Linked DNA regions of Arabidopsis thaliana. The protein of the gene in region 1 interacts with the protein of each later gene in a pairwise test. Each region holds a gene or a part of one and is shown on either strand. Other genes may lie near its edges.

Region 1 (4,030 bases):
TTTTTCAAAAAATATGAATGGTATTACCAGTTTCTTGTTATGCTTTGGGTTCAGTAAAGTTCCACTCATTTTCCAGTATCTGATGAATGATAGAGCAGTCTTTTTAGAACTTTGAGCTTTCATATTCCTTCCGTCCAACAAAGATGAATTTTCTATGGAAAAAAATTGTCCCACAAAGATACAAATTTTGTATTTTTAATATAAATTTTAAAATTGTTTACCTGTTTTATCCTAAGTAAATAAGTAGATAAATATTTTTTATTATTTTTAAAATATATTAAAAGGTTAAAATTGTCAGTATACATTATTTTTTAAAAATGTGAAATTTCTATAAAAAAATCCATCTTCATAGGATAAAGATGTTATTAATTTTAGCTATTAGTCATGATCAACCTACACTGGTACTTCTATATTTCCTCCATGATATCAATTTTTATGTTTTAACCAGTGATATGAACTGTGACTTTCCACCTTCATAACTTTGATATCCATATATATTAGTGTAAGTTTCGTACTGTACATATACTTGCATCATAACTGGATTAGCCGAGACTAAATAATTTTGACTATTCTTCACAGTTCATACTCAAGGTCTCTGTTCTTTGTAATTCTAGACTACATATCAAATAAAAAGATGATGATATATTAGTCAAAACTCAAAAGTAATTAGAAGAAAAAACTTTGTAATTCCGGAATATCATACGTTACTACTTTTCATTAGTAAAATACCCAAATTACTTGGGAAATTGAGGTTCTGCAGTTCCCGATGTACAAGAGAATAACAATACAATACACTGATCTAAAGTGAATGGGACGCTTGACATTGCCAAACCAAACCATGCTTTTGTATCAATATCTAATAAACATATAAGCTTAAATTTATAATGATGTATTATTATCAAAATAAACAATGATAATATAACATTAAGATATTTCTAGCCTTTTCTTTTCCGCATAAAAGTCTGTCCTGGCTCATTATAAACTACCACTAATTTAGGCAAAATCCGTATCTTAACAAAAGTAATAAAAGCAATTTCGAGTATTGGGATTGGAAGATACCTTTTCCCCTTATTCATTCTTCTTCTCATTCTTCTTTTCTCTAAATAAAGTAGTTGAGACTTGAGAGCCACCGAAAAGCATTCGACATCCTATCATTAAAGCTAACTTTTTTCAGTGTTTTATTTCTAAAATAATTTCTTAAAATAAAGAAAGGTGAGAGAGAAATTATGTCCCTATACAACTAGTAGAATGAAAGATTGTCAAGCTTTGGTTTGGGATTTTTCTAATAAATCACATGCATTTGTTAGAATTTGATCCCAAAAAAAAAAAATTCAAACCTTTTTCCTGTAAAAGCAAACCTATTGGCTCGTAGGTCAATGTCAATCTCAATGAATAGTAAAGTCTTTTGATATCACGTATCTATAACATATTATTTTTAGCGTGGTTCATGTCCCTCAACATTCTGCCTAAATTATAGGATCTCAAGACATAGTACTATAGACTACAACTACAAGTAGAGGAAAATTTTATAAGAGAGATAAATTATGCGGTATTCACGCATGACATGCGTAAGCATGAAACTAAAATTTGGTTGATACATTACTATGCCGAATTTAAAGTAGTGCTCCATGCAGACATGAACATATCAGATATCACACGTACGCATGTATTACGTGTATGTAGAGACACACGTACGCATATCTATATTCACACAATGAGATTTCACTTTCTCAAACAAAGATCACTGTCTTCAATTAGTTTCAAATTTGTTCTTTACCTATTGCTTTTACATTTCTGAGTGTATATATTTACAATAAGGACAAGGAGATTTTAAATGATAAAAGTCAACCATATCCCATCATTTGGTCTTTGGTTTCCCGACGTCCCACTTTTGTAAAAATCATCTGTTCATTTTCCATTCTTTTTCTTTTTCCTACCCAACTGGATATCACCAATGATATCATTATACACTAACACTATCATTTCACACTTATCTTCCTCTATATATACATAGCTTAAGTCTTGTAACGAGAAAGGCATGCATAGCATTTGCTAGTTTTAACATATAGCAATGAAGGTTCATGAGTTTTCGAATGGGTTTTCTTCATCGTGGGATCAACATGACTCGACATCATCCCTTAGCCTAAGCTGCAAACGCCTCCGTCCTCTCGCCCCTAAGCTCTCCGGCAGCCCTCCCTCCCCTCCTTCTTCTTCCTCCGGCGTCACTTCAGCCACTTTTGACCTTAAAAACTTCATTAGACCCGATCAAACCGGTCCGACAAAATTTGAACACAAACGAGACCCTCCTCATCAAGTCAGTTCCATTATTGTACTTCGTACATTTTACATCGTTTCTTTCGTTTGAAAAAAGAAGAAGAATTCACTCTAGAAGAATTTTGATAATTGCGGCATACCTAATACTTTGACATTTATAAATTATAACGACTGGAGTGGTTCCTTTTATTATTAATTTTATTTATTTATTTTAATGTATGATTCCTAACAAATGTAATGAAATAATGTGTGGGTTCAGTTGGAGACGCACCCGGGAGGGACAAGGTGGAACCCGACTCAAGAACAGATAGGGATACTTGAGATGTTGTACAAAGGTGGAATGCGTACTCCTAATGCTCAACAGATTGAGCATATCACATTGCAACTCGGTAAGTACGGGAAAATCGAAGGGAAAAATGTGTTCTATTGGTTCCAGAACCACAAAGCCCGCGAGAGACAGAAGCAGAAGAGGAACAACCTCATCAGCCTAAGTTGCCAAAGCAGCTTCACGACCACTGGTGTCTTTAATCCGAGTGTAACTATGAAGACAAGAACATCATCGTCACTAGACATTATGGTAGGAATTTAAGGATTTTGTATAGTTTTGTGGTTTTGATCAACTATATTTAAGGATAATTTTTATGATTGTGTAGAGAGAACCAATGGTGGAGAAGGAGGAGTTAGTGGAAGAGAATGAGTACAAGAGGACATGTAGGAGCTGGGGATTTGAGAACTTGGAGATAGAGAACAGGAGAAACAAAAATAGTAGTACTATGGCAACTACTTTTAATAAAATCATTGACAATGTAACCCTCGAGCTTTTTCCTCTCCATCCTGAAGGGAGATGAAGTCATGAAGGTGAGGCAGAAAATTGTGGAATTCTTATGTAGATCTGGTTTAGGTTCAGAGGAATCAATTGGTATCTAGAAATTCAAAATAAAAATAAAAATAGGAATAAGTCTCTAAAACTACAAAATCTACTTAAGAATTCCCTTATTAATCTGCGAGTTTGATGTATCCTATGTAGATTATTTTTGCGATGTAATCTTAATTATGAATGCTCAGTTTAGCTCATCTTTTTTTCGCGTTTATTCTTGACAAATTCACTAGTGATCAGTTGTACTCTCTTCTGATTTGGCCATCTAAGTATTTCTCTAGATCGTTGGTATGTAGGAATGTTTCATTTAGAGAAATTTCTGAATAAAGACACATTTGATGTTGTTAAAATAATATCTCTGTCTTAATTCCTACGTACGTACAAGAGCAAGAAGTTAAAAGGAAATAATAATAGCATTTCCCGTTGAAAAGGGGGTAGACCTAGTATATTTCTATATAAACAAACATTGAAATCTAAAACTTTTTGTACTGTTATATACTTATATTAAAACTCTTAGTAAAACAGGTGACTCAATAATATTTATATTAATTTTTTATTTTTGATAAATATATACTAAATAAGTTTATGAGATGATAACAAGAAGAATCTTTTCAAGAATTTGATATTTCCAATGGAATGTGTACAAAGACATCAATATATGTAAGCTGTGGTGTGTATGTGGTTAGTTGTTTGTCTGATGCTTTATTGACTCTCGCAAGTGGTTGTTTTGTATTTTGGTTGAAACAAAGAGAGAGTTTTGCTTTTTAGGTTAAAAGTTGAAATGGCATTATATGAGACACACTCACTGAAGTCCATGCACTCGCTTTCCCGCTACATTGCATGCTAGCTAGCTGTTTCTATACATACGCAGATATATGT
Region 2 (4,822 bases), on another chromosome or scaffold:
TTTACATTTATGAATATGAACAATCCATTTGATTCCGTCCTAGGTGGGAGTAGACTGCAATCTACAATAATTAATTTATAGTACAAAACCAATTGATTAGTGAATTGGTTTAAGTTATTAAACTAAAAGAAGTAATTATTCAAGGTTGAGCCCTAGCTATAGTGCCAGATATTTTTAATTAAATCCTAATTAAGCATTTAATTAAGACCCCAATAGACGAAACGAAAGCAAGTACCATCATCATATATAATCATGCATATTTATCAAAGTTTTATATTTTATAACAAGAGAGGGAATCCCAAAGCTATCATCATCATCCACATTTACTCTACCATACTTTCGATTCTTTATGCTCTTTTTATAATCTTAATTGTTGTTGAAACTTTTGCTTCTTTATTTTAAATATACGTTTATGGTGCTTATTTAAACAACAAATATGTAATACGTCGAAACAGTTTGTAATATGTGTACGTAATATTAAACTATATCATTTCTTCGAATAATAACACATATCACATATCATATGTTATTTACAAAAATTCTTCATCAAATACATTCATTAACATATATATATATATTTATATATATGACATCTATGATCATATATTTTTATTTTTATCAAAATAGTCATAGTTTCCATATGTATTATTAATAGAGTTTAGTTTACAATATTTCAAAGCCTTAATAAGTAGTTCTTTTACTTTGAAAAAACAAAAATAGACATTTATAATAGAAAAACAGAGAGGTTGGTTAAAATGCTAAAAGTCTCATTTTATTCATACTTTTAGTTTTTTCTTTTTTTTTTGAAAAACCCTATTTATTTGATAACATACATAAATCAACTTTTGGGCAGTGGTGTTACATACCATAGTTCTTCACTTTTTTTGTATAGAGATTTGCTATCTGATTAAATAAAAACGAATAATGCTTGGGTTTAAAATTGTGAATAACAATGATAATGTTTCTAGTTTCCGGCAAAAGTAGCAGGGGAAGAATGATTACGTGAATGATGTAGGACCCAAAACGTTTTGAAATAAATTACTAAATTTTTGACCAAATTGAGTTGTTTAATTTGGAGAGGAGTGTTGGCCCCATCACTCTCTCGTCGACCTCTCCATTGTCTTTATGGAATGAATGATAAAAGAGGACACCTCACGTGGACTCTGCTGCCACAACGACTCTCTCCAACCATATCCCCTTCACATATATGACATATTTTTCTTACATTTACTATATATTAAAGACTCCACATTGTACATTTTTTCATCTCATTTATTAACGCAACGTTCAGATTTTTCCATTTTTAACTAGTCGTGAAAAGTATTTTCGTTGTACGGTGAATATTGTAGCCCTTTTTTACGGTGGGTGTTTTTTTTTTCATTTGATTGATGAGTAAATCTACATCGAGAAAAGAATATAATGAAAGATATACCGAAATCTTTTGATTATGGACAGATTTATTTTGTTTAAACCTTTTTTTTTTTTTACTGTTTTAAAAAGTTGACTAAATGCTTATCTGAGAAAATAATTAACGTGAAAAATAATTTGATATAATTCGGATTAAGTTAACTATAACAGACTGATTTTGATTGAGCAGAAATTAACGTTGAAATATTCACATTGGCTAATTACATCAATTCATTTTTGCGTTGATTAAATGACACTTTCTTTTCTTCAACTATTAAATGATATTCCCATTGTTGACATTTCTCTAAGTATATGATTTTAAGTAATTTTCATAAAGAAGCAATGAACAGTATTTTCATTTGAAAAAAAAAAGATATGTAATGAGATTTTTCTTTTAATTTTTTAATGTTATGTAAAGCTCACCCATATAATTCTCACTCATGATCTTTGTTTCTTTAAGCTTTTCTTCTCCATTGTCTCTCTCTTTCTTATCCTCTCTTTCTCAATCAATTCCTTCAGACTTATACACTTTATTTTTTTTCCCCTCTTGTCGAAAACATCACATATAAATAAAAAACCAAAAACCCTAATTTATAAAATATATATAAAATAGTTATAGCTCCCCACTTATATATGCAAAAGCCAACATCAAGTATCTTAAATGTCATAATGGACGGTGGAGACAGCGTCGGAGGAGGAGGAGGAGATGATCACCACCGTCACCTCCACCATCACCACCGCCCTACTTTCCCTTTTCAACTACTCGGAAAACACGACCCCGACGACAACCATCAACAACAACCTTCCCCTTCCTCCTCCTCCTCTCTATTTTCTCTCCATCAACACCAACAATTATCTCAATCGCAACCTCAATCGCAATCGCAAAAGTCACAACCGCAGACAACGCAAAAAGAGTTATTACAAACGCAAGAGGAATCTGCGGTGGTGGCAGCTAAAAAGCCACCGTTGAAACGAGCGTCGACGAAAGACCGACACACGAAAGTAGACGGAAGAGGGAGGAGAATAAGGATGCCGGCGTTATGTGCAGCTAGGGTTTTTCAGCTAACGCGAGAGCTAGGTCATAAATCCGACGGTGAGACAATAGAGTGGCTTCTTCAACAAGCTGAACCATCTGTAATCGCCGCCACCGGAACCGGAACAATCCCGGCGAATTTCACTTCTTTAAACATCTCTCTCCGTTCTTCAGGCTCTTCCATGTCTCTTCCTTCTCATTTCCGCTCCGCCGCTTCCACTTTTAGCCCTAATAACATATTTTCTCCGGCGATGCTTCAACAACAACAACAACAACAACGTGGTGGTGGTGTTGGGTTTCATCATCCCCATCTACAGGGACGTGCACCTACGTCGTCTTTGTTTCCTGGTATTGATAACTTCACACCAACGACGTCGTTTTTGAACTTTCATAATCCAACAAAGCAAGAAGGAGATCAAGATTCTGAAGAGTTAAACTCGGAGAAGAAAAGAAGAATCCAAACGACGTCGGATTTGCATCAACAACAACAACAACACCAACATGATCAAATCGGAGGATATACACTTCAATCTAGCAACAGTGGATCTACAGCCACCGCAGCCGCCGCGCAACAAATACCGGGAAATTTCTGGATGGTTGCGGCGGCTGCGGCTGCAGGTGGTGGTGGTGGTAATAACAACCAAACAGGTGGTCTTATGACAGCTTCTATTGGTACTGGTGGCGGCGGTGGAGAGCCTGTTTGGACGTTTCCTTCCATTAACACGGCAGCGGCAGCGTTATATAGAAGTGGCGTTTCGGGCGTTCCAAGCGGCGCGGTTTCTAGCGGTTTACATTTTATGAATTTCGCAGCGCCAATGGCATTTCTTACTGGACAACAACAGCTAGCAACAACTAGTAATCATGAGATTAATGAAGATAGTAATAATAATGAAGGAGGAAGAAGTGACGGTGGTGGTGATCATCATAATACACAGAGACATCATCATCATCAACAACAACATCATCATAATATTCTCTCCGGCTTGAACCAGTACGGACGGCAAGTTTCCGGCGACTCTCAAGCTAGTGGATCACTTGGAGGTGGTGATGAGGAGGATCAGCAAGATTAGACACACACAAAAACATTTTAACGGTGGGATTTTCTGCCGACGGCGGTAGCGGTGACGGCGTTCGGCGGCTGTGTAAAACTTTTGTTTTCACCGTTAATTTTTTTTATTTTCTGTAGTAATTTTTTTTGCTAAGTAAAAAAAAAAAAAAAAACACGTGAGATTTTCTTTTTAATTTTGATTTTTTTACTTGATTTTAAATTTGATTTTTCTTGTGAGTGAGTGATTAAATAGTACACGAGATTTTTTATGTCAGGTTTTTTGGATTTTGAGGAGAATATGACACTTTTTTTTATCATTATTGTTTTTAATTGTTTTTTTTCTTCTTCTGATAGTGTCACTGTCGTCTCGATTCTCAATCATCTTCGTTTTCTTTATCCATTAAGAAATTAATTATACATAAAGAAAAATTCTAAAAAGTATTCGTCAAACAATGTTGGTTCCTATAGTAATAATAGTAACATATACATCAAAGTATAATCTTACTGTTTTTTTAGTAACATTACGTTTTTTTAAGTGTTAATACAAAAAAAATTGAGAAACTATTTTATCAAGGAATGAGATGGGCCTCTCTCTATTGGCCCACCAATCTCTGTTATATTTGGCCCTTGAAGTAGTTGTTTCAAAGCTAATAGAAAACAGCAAAGTGTCTCGTTTGTTTTACATGGTCGAACGAAAACGATACAAAAAACATAAAAATATCTCGTTTGATCTTATATGCTATGAAATATATTAAATGCTTTTTTTAGTATATGATTCATTTTATCTCTGTTTCTTTGTCGTTTGTCCCCACTAAACAATCAATCTGATTTTGTATATGATGAGATATCTAATACTATTATATCATGATATTGTTAAAACTGGTTTTGTATATGATGATAATATTATATCAAGACTAGTTTAGACTATGAGAATTAATTAGAAAGTGATATAGTTTGAATGTCGCGTACAAAGTTATGGCTCAAAATTTTGTTTCTTTTTTTTTGACGAAGTACACCAAAAATATTTGATTGTTTCAGTATATTCTTTTTGTGTTTGTATGCCTTTAGAAAGTAATATTAACAATTTGTAAATTGATAGTGTTTAATTAGAACATAATTTACTTTATAAAATCTATTATTATGTTGTGAAAGAAAATATTCACTCAACATCGATCGGTCATATATTCAAGAATCAAGATAAATAATCTGAAGTTTTAAAAATCTGTTTTCGCATGGGTTAAATATAAGTTTTTACAAAAAGGATGAAGACAGAAAACAAATAAAAATAAATGTGAATGCAGACTATATAATATATCATTGAATGTATAAATTAT
Region 3 (6,680 bases), on another chromosome or scaffold:
ATTTGATCATATTCAGCATCCGGGAACTTCAATGGAAGCTTTACTGTCTCTATATCGAATGCACAAACGCGAACTTCTGCGCGTTGGAGAAGATCCGTCCTCTTCTCTAGTATGACATCAGTGCTGGAAATACTGACATTGTACCATTGCCCACTACGCACATCTGGACAGCGAGAACACATCATGATTTTGACAACCTTGAGGGCTAAACTAGGATTAAAAGTTTGACTAAATAGGTTACCATTATCAATTGCAAATCGGACATGATAAGGAACATCGTACTCGCGGAGGTCCACCACAGAGTCTAAGCAGTCTTGAGGACGTTGTTCTCTACATTCCAAGACTTGGAAATTATAACTAAGGAACAACATAGTTTTAAGGGATAAATTTGTAAGAACTCTGGAAATTTATAAGAACAAAAATACATTGCCTTACCGTTTTCCAGACAAGATGGATTCGTAAGCTTCAAGTGCATTAAATTTTGCGAGGTTTCGTTCGACAATATGCAACAGATCCCTCTTTACTTCCACCAATTGTTGCACAGTGTCAAATGATACTTTGAGATATTTTTTTTGCAGGCCAGATAGATGATTTTTCTGCTCATGAACATAAGAAATCAAGAAACTCAAATTGGTATGGTAGGTCAAAGAAAAGGTCAGCAAAAGTGACAACCAAACAAGAGGTACTGAAAACGTTCATATCTTGCATAATGTTGCCACTAAAGAAGAAGCATTAAACACTTAAACATTTACTAGCAAACGTTTTTTGAGTTACAAGAACGTTTTTGGCAGGCTAGATAGATGATTTGAGCACATGGAAGCAAGATCAGTTTTGGACTTATTACTAGAGCTGCTCAATTTGAAGTTGCAAGAAGAGGAAAATAACTAAAAGTTGTAGCAAATGTAATTGACATGAGTCCTCTATATAGAGAGAAAGAAACGAGTAATCAACAGGTAGTTGCAAACTGCGTAAAAGGAGTTATGCTTTAGTGACTTACAAGATAAAGATCTTCTTTGTGAACAATCTGAATATCAGCAACTTGTCTTTCATATCGGCGTCTCAAGTAGGCTTCAACTTCCAGTTCCATATTGTCCTGTAAAAAGGGCATTGCAGTTTAGTTGACATATAGGAAGAAAACACTCGAGTACAGAGAGAACATATATACTTTGGTGGCGGCATACAAGTAAGGGCGGAACTTGTACTTAGTCTTAAAAGAAGAGCCGTCCTGAAAGAAACAAAAAGGGTTGAGCAACTGATACGAAGAAAGAAGCTAATATAGTAGCAATGACCACAGCTGACCTGAGTGACAAAGAAAAGGTCCACACAACTAAAGGTTTTCCCAGTATCGGCATCTTCCCAAGATGACTGCCAACAACGTAGTATAATAACCAATCAGTGAGTGTACTTAGAAGTTTTCAGTATTCAGAGAACTAACTACTAGGGAAGTCACAAAACGTGACTTACTGATGCAAACGTGAGTAGCCACCCGAGCCGCGTTTCCCCTTGGGAGAAAAGCCCAAATCCAAGTTTAGTTTCGAGTTCATCTGCCGCTGAAACTTTCTGCACATTCAACCTCCGATCACATCTCCTTCCGCTCATATTTGGCCCACGCCGATGATGCTAAGAGACTCTTGTATTGATTGCTTGTGTTGCGTATTAAATAAATTAGGGTTCAAAACAAAGGGATTCGTGATTGACACTGGTACGGTGAAGAGATGGAACCAGATCAAATAAGAGAAGAGAGAATCATCTAGAACCTGAGATTCTTATGACGACAATACAAGGAAATGAAGTTGTCATCCGAAAATGAATTAGGGCTCAACTAAAAAAGACAGATGAAGAAGATGAAATGCTTTCGCGCGCGTTGTCTCTTGTATCAAGGGCTTTCCTGGTTGTTGGGTTCGGTTCAAATGAGGCCTCACTTTTTATGAGGGCTTTCTGTTGTTGGGTTTAGATTAAAACGAGGTCTCGCTATTTAAATTGAAAAAAAAAAACCAACAAAAGCACGAAACGACGTCGGTTTCGTGCTTGAATCTCTTCTTCCTCGCGAACGACTGAGAAGAAGCAGGAGTTTAATTTCCTCCGGTCGAATCTGAAAACGAAATAGCTGCCATAGCTTCTTCTCAATTTTCCCCAATTGTTGTTGCCCTTCTCCCTAATTTCACGACTTTCGATTCTTCTGAGTTCTGAGTTCTTCGCATCACTGACTGACGTAAGCTCCTCTTTCTCTCTTTTGCTTTCTCCTCTTTCTGGGTTTCTCTCTCTCTCAACAAACAATCGGAGAGTGAGAGATGCAAAAAGTCCTCATATTTATATGTTCGGAAGAAGATCTCCAAACACTAATAGTACTTTTTTGTAGACTATGAAGATGAGAAACATTTGTGTGAAATTAGAACTTCTCTACTAAGTGAAGGTTATGGATGTTCATTTGGTGGAAGAGAATGTGTCAATGGGGAATCATGAGATAGGAGATGAAGGAGATGTTGAACCTAGTGATTGCAGTGGACAGAACAACATGGATAACTCGTTAGGGGTGCAAGATGAGATTGGAATTGCAGAGCCATGTGTTGGTATGGAGTTTAATTCAGAAAAAGAAGCTAAATCTTTCTATGATGAGTACTCGAGGCAGCTTGGTTTTACTTCTAAGCTTCTTCCTAGAACTGATGGGTCTGTTAGTGTTCGAGAATTTGTGTGTAGTAGTAGTAGTAAAAGGTCAAAGAGAAGGCTTTCTGAGAGTTGTGATGCAATGGTTAGGATAGAGTTGCAAGGTCATGAGAAATGGGTTGTTACAAAGTTTGTTAAAGAGCATACTCATGGATTAGCAAGTTCTAATATGCTTCATTGTCTTCGTCCTCGTAGGCATTTTGCTAACTCGGAGAAATCTAGTTATCAAGAAGGGGTTAATGTGCCTAGTGGTATGATGTATGTTTCTATGGATGCTAATAGCAGAGGAGCTAGAAATGCGTCTATGGCTACAAACACGAAGAGAACGATTGGACGGGATGCACATAATCTGTTGGAGTATTTTAAGAGGATGCAGGCAGAGAATCCTGGCTTTTTCTATGCGGTTCAGCTTGATGAAGATAATCAGATGTCAAATGTGTTTTGGGCTGATTCGAGATCTAGGGTTGCTTATACTCATTTTGGTGACACGGTTACCTTAGATACGAGGTACAGGTGCAATCAGTTTCGTGTTCCTTTTGCGCCATTTACTGGTGTGAATCATCATGGTCAGGCTATCTTATTTGGCTGTGCACTTATTTTGGACGAGTCAGACACTTCATTTATCTGGCTGTTCAAGACTTTTCTAACAGCAATGAGAGATCAACCGCCGGTTTCTTTGGTGACTGATCAAGATAGAGCCATACAGATTGCTGCTGGTCAGGTATTTCCAGGTGCTCGTCACTGTATTAATAAGTGGGATGTGCTAAGAGAAGGTCAGGAAAAGCTGGCTCATGTGTGTCTTGCGTATCCTAGTTTTCAGGTGGAGCTATATAATTGTATCAACTTTACTGAAACGATTGAGGAGTTTGAATCGTCCTGGAGTTCTGTCATTGACAAATATGACTTAGGAAGACATGAATGGCTTAATTCTTTATATAATGCTCGAGCTCAGTGGGTACCTGTTTATTTCCGGGATTCGTTTTTTGCTGCAGTGTTTCCTAGCCAAGGTTATTCGGGTTCCTTTTTCGATGGATATGTGAATCAGCAGACAACCCTTCCGATGTTCTTTAGGCTGTACGAAAGGGCTATGGAGAGCTGGTTCGAGATGGAGATTGAAGCAGATCTTGACACTGTCAACACACCTCCAGTCTTGAAGACGCCATCACCCATGGAGAATCAGGCTGCAAATCTCTTTACAAGGAAAATATTTGGAAAGTTCCAGGAAGAGTTGGTAGAGACATTCGCTCACACGGCAAACAGAATTGAAGATGATGGTACTACCAGCACATTTAGGGTTGCAAATTTTGAAAATGACAACAAAGCTTATATAGTAACGTTTTGCTACCCTGAAATGAGAGCAAACTGCAGCTGTCAAATGTTTGAGCACTCCGGCATACTCTGCCGACATGTTTTGACGGTGTTTACTGTCACTAATATACTCACTTTGCCACCACATTATATTTTGAGACGGTGGACAAGAAATGCCAAGAGCATGGTAGAGTTAGATGAGCATGTCAGTGAAAATGGGCATGATAGCTCGATACACCGCTATAATCATTTATGTCGCGAAGCCATCAAGTATGCTGAGGAAGGGGCAATTACAGCTGAAGCTTATAATATTGCTTTAGGGCAACTCAGAGAAGGTGGAAAGAAGGTTTCAGTTGTCAGGAAAAGGATAGGTAGAGCTGCGCCTCCTAGCTCACATGGTGGTGGAATTGGTAGTGGTGACAAGACCTCTCTATCAGCTGCTGACACAACCCCTTTGCTGTGGCCGCGCCAGGATGAAATGATACGCAGATTTAACCTTAACGATGGTGGGGCCAGAGCTCAATCTGTTTCTGATCTGAATCTGCCGCGTATGGCACCAGTGTCACTTCACCGAGATGATACTGCTCCTGAGAATATGGTACCCAGAGGAAACCTTTCACAGACTTATTTCTTTGATTCTATTGGTGTTGGTCAGTAACTTGATTTACTTTGTCTTACAGGTGGCTCTTCCTTGTCTTAAGTCATTGACTTGGGGGATGGAGAGTAAAAATACAATGCCGGGTGGTAGAGTTGCAGTTATCAATTTAAAGGTGTGCATTATATGAACCAGTAAATCTTTTCTGTAGGGTTTTGCAGTAACTTTTACTGAAAGTTGGTCTGATGGGATGCTTTATCTAAAAGAGATTAGATTTGTAAGAATAATGATCTTGAAGATTTGAACAATTGACATTCGCCTTTTCGGAAAAGTTACTGGCTATAGTGTAGGAAAATCAAAGTTGTTGCCATTAATAGTCTTGCTCGTTCCTGCAAAATAGTAGTTGACCGCTTTACTGAGGATTATTTTTCATGATGTTTTCAGTTGCACGATTACAGAAAGTTTCCCTCAGCAGACATGGATGTCAAATTTCAGCTGTCTAGCGTCACACTTGAACCCATGTTAAGGTCCATGGCTTACATTAGCGAGCAACTTTCATCTCCAGCCAATAGAGTAGCTGTCATCAATTTGAAGGTATGTCTTTTAGACTCTAGGCTCGTAGCTTCTCATGTAGTCTTCTTGACTTGACTAAACTCCTTTTAATTTATTGATTGTCTTTGGTTTGTTCTAACATAGATTCCATCTACCGTTAGTGTGTGAAACTTCTGTGTTGTTTGACTTGTTTAAGCTGATTCTCTCATTCATGTTAACTTGCCATACGTTTTGCAGTTATTTATACTAGCGTCACTACTTGAATATGAAATTTCATGTTTGATTACCAAAATCAATGTTTTACTCCATATTAGGGACTCTTAATTGAACTAGAAGGTTTCAACAGTGTGAAAAAATCTTCTTTTGTTTTCCTTACTCCAGCTTCAAGATACCGAGACAACAACAGGAGAATCAGAGGTCAAGTTTCAGGTGTCCCGAGATACACTAGGTGCCATGTTGAGATCAATGGCCTATATCCGTGAGCAGCTCTCAATCGTTGTAGGCACACTCCCTTTTTCTTTTTCTTTTTCCAAGTAGTAGTTATTAAATAATTACAAGGCCAATGATAGTTGAATTAGTAATAGTAACAGCAATCAATTAGGTTCATATCGACCTATAATTGTTCCTGAACTATTACTTGGTCTATGTATTGTCTTATAGAGTATCTAAACGGTATCTTGCATTTGCAGGGAGAGCTACAAACAGAATCTCAAGCAAAGAAGCAACGCAAATGATGTTGAGAGAGAGAAACAACCTCTGGAAAAGAAAACTTTGGAAAATGGTTGTTAACCTCATTAGAGCTCGTCTGTGATTAGTGTTGTTAGATTTACGATACAATGCCTTATGTGTAATTGTAACATGTGTAAGTGTCACGTCATCTACGCAAGTGTGTAGAATCTGGTAGGCATTGAGCCAGGCTTTGAAGTGTATATATCCTTCTTATTTACATTGAACCCTAAAAACCTGGATTCTTGTGGATAGTCATTCGTTTGACTGCAGATTATATTTAATGGCCATGGAGATTTAAGACTGCCATGGAGACTTAAGTATTGATAACAAACAATGTGGATAAAACGCATTATTCAATACAAGAAATTCTCATGCTATTTATGTAATCATCGTCGAACAGAATTAGTAAGAAAGCACATGAAAAATTTTGAAAAACAATAAGGAAATGTATGGAGTGCGTATTTTACGCTTTAGTGAGTGAAAATTGGGAGGAACAAGACATAATACATCAAAAGGGTAAGAAAATGCCACAATCTGCTAGCTTTGCCTTCTAATACTGATGCCCTTTAACCCAACCCGAACCAGTAAACTCGGGATCTCTCTAGCCCTGTCTTGTCTACAAGCTCCTGTAATCAATAACGGTCACTTCTTCCTCTGGAGCATCTAGGTCTTGGTAGCTGCACCAAATTTCTCATACATTAGTACCTTAGAGACACTGCACTCTTGATCATAGGGTAATGGACTCATAGCACAGAGTGAACTACGTTACCTGCGCAGCCGTCTAGGATCTTGTCTAAAGGCCGGAGACAACAGAAAAGGGGCAGGTCCACCT

Evidence for each region.
Region 2: the proteins of WOX4 (region 1) and TCP14 interact in binary tests that used the Arabidopsis thaliana proteins (3 or more experiments, as listed by UniProt).
Region 3: the proteins of WOX4 (region 1) and FRS3 interact in binary tests that used the Arabidopsis thaliana proteins (3 or more experiments, as listed by UniProt).

What each region holds. Positions count from the first base shown.
Region 1 is NC_003070.9:17,235,995-17,240,024, reverse strand, and holds WOX4 (WUSCHEL related homeobox 4), read left to right. Parts: upstream 1-1,839; 5' UTR 1,840-2,071; coding exon 2,072-2,314; intron 2,315-2,533; coding exon 2,534-2,851; coding exon of another isoform or gene 2,852-2,863; exon of another isoform or gene 2,864-2,927; coding exon 2,928-3,122; 3' UTR 3,123-3,501; downstream 3,502-4,030. UniProt on the Arabidopsis thaliana protein: Promotes differentiation and/or maintenance of the vascular procambium, the initial cells of the developing vasculature.
Region 2 is NC_003074.8:17,556,964-17,561,785, forward strand, and holds TCP14 (TEOSINTE BRANCHED, cycloidea and PCF (TCP) 14), read left to right. Parts: upstream 1-1,829; 5' UTR 1,830-2,040; coding exon 2,041-3,510; 3' UTR 3,511-4,296; downstream 4,297-4,822. UniProt on the Arabidopsis thaliana protein: Transcription factor involved the regulation of plant development. Binds to the Up1 elements (5'-GGCCCAWW-3') in early light-induced proteins (ELIPs, e.g.
Region 3 is NC_003071.7:11,576,142-11,582,821, reverse strand, and holds FRS3 (FAR1-related sequence 3), read left to right. Parts: upstream 1-2,004; 5' UTR 2,005-2,416; coding exon 2,417-4,570; intron 4,571-4,652; coding exon 4,653-4,742; intron 4,743-5,011; coding exon 5,012-5,161; intron 5,162-5,500; coding exon 5,501-5,617; intron 5,618-5,808; coding exon 5,809-5,853; 3' UTR 5,854-6,154; downstream 6,155-6,680. Other genes in the region: TIL2 (DNA polymerase epsilon catalytic subunit), read right to left, coding at 1-163, 242-330, 436-596, 998-1,093, 1,166-1,225, 1,300-1,365, 1,465-1,599; SE (C2H2 zinc-finger protein SERRATE (SE)), read right to left, coding at 6,465-6,525, 6,618-6,680.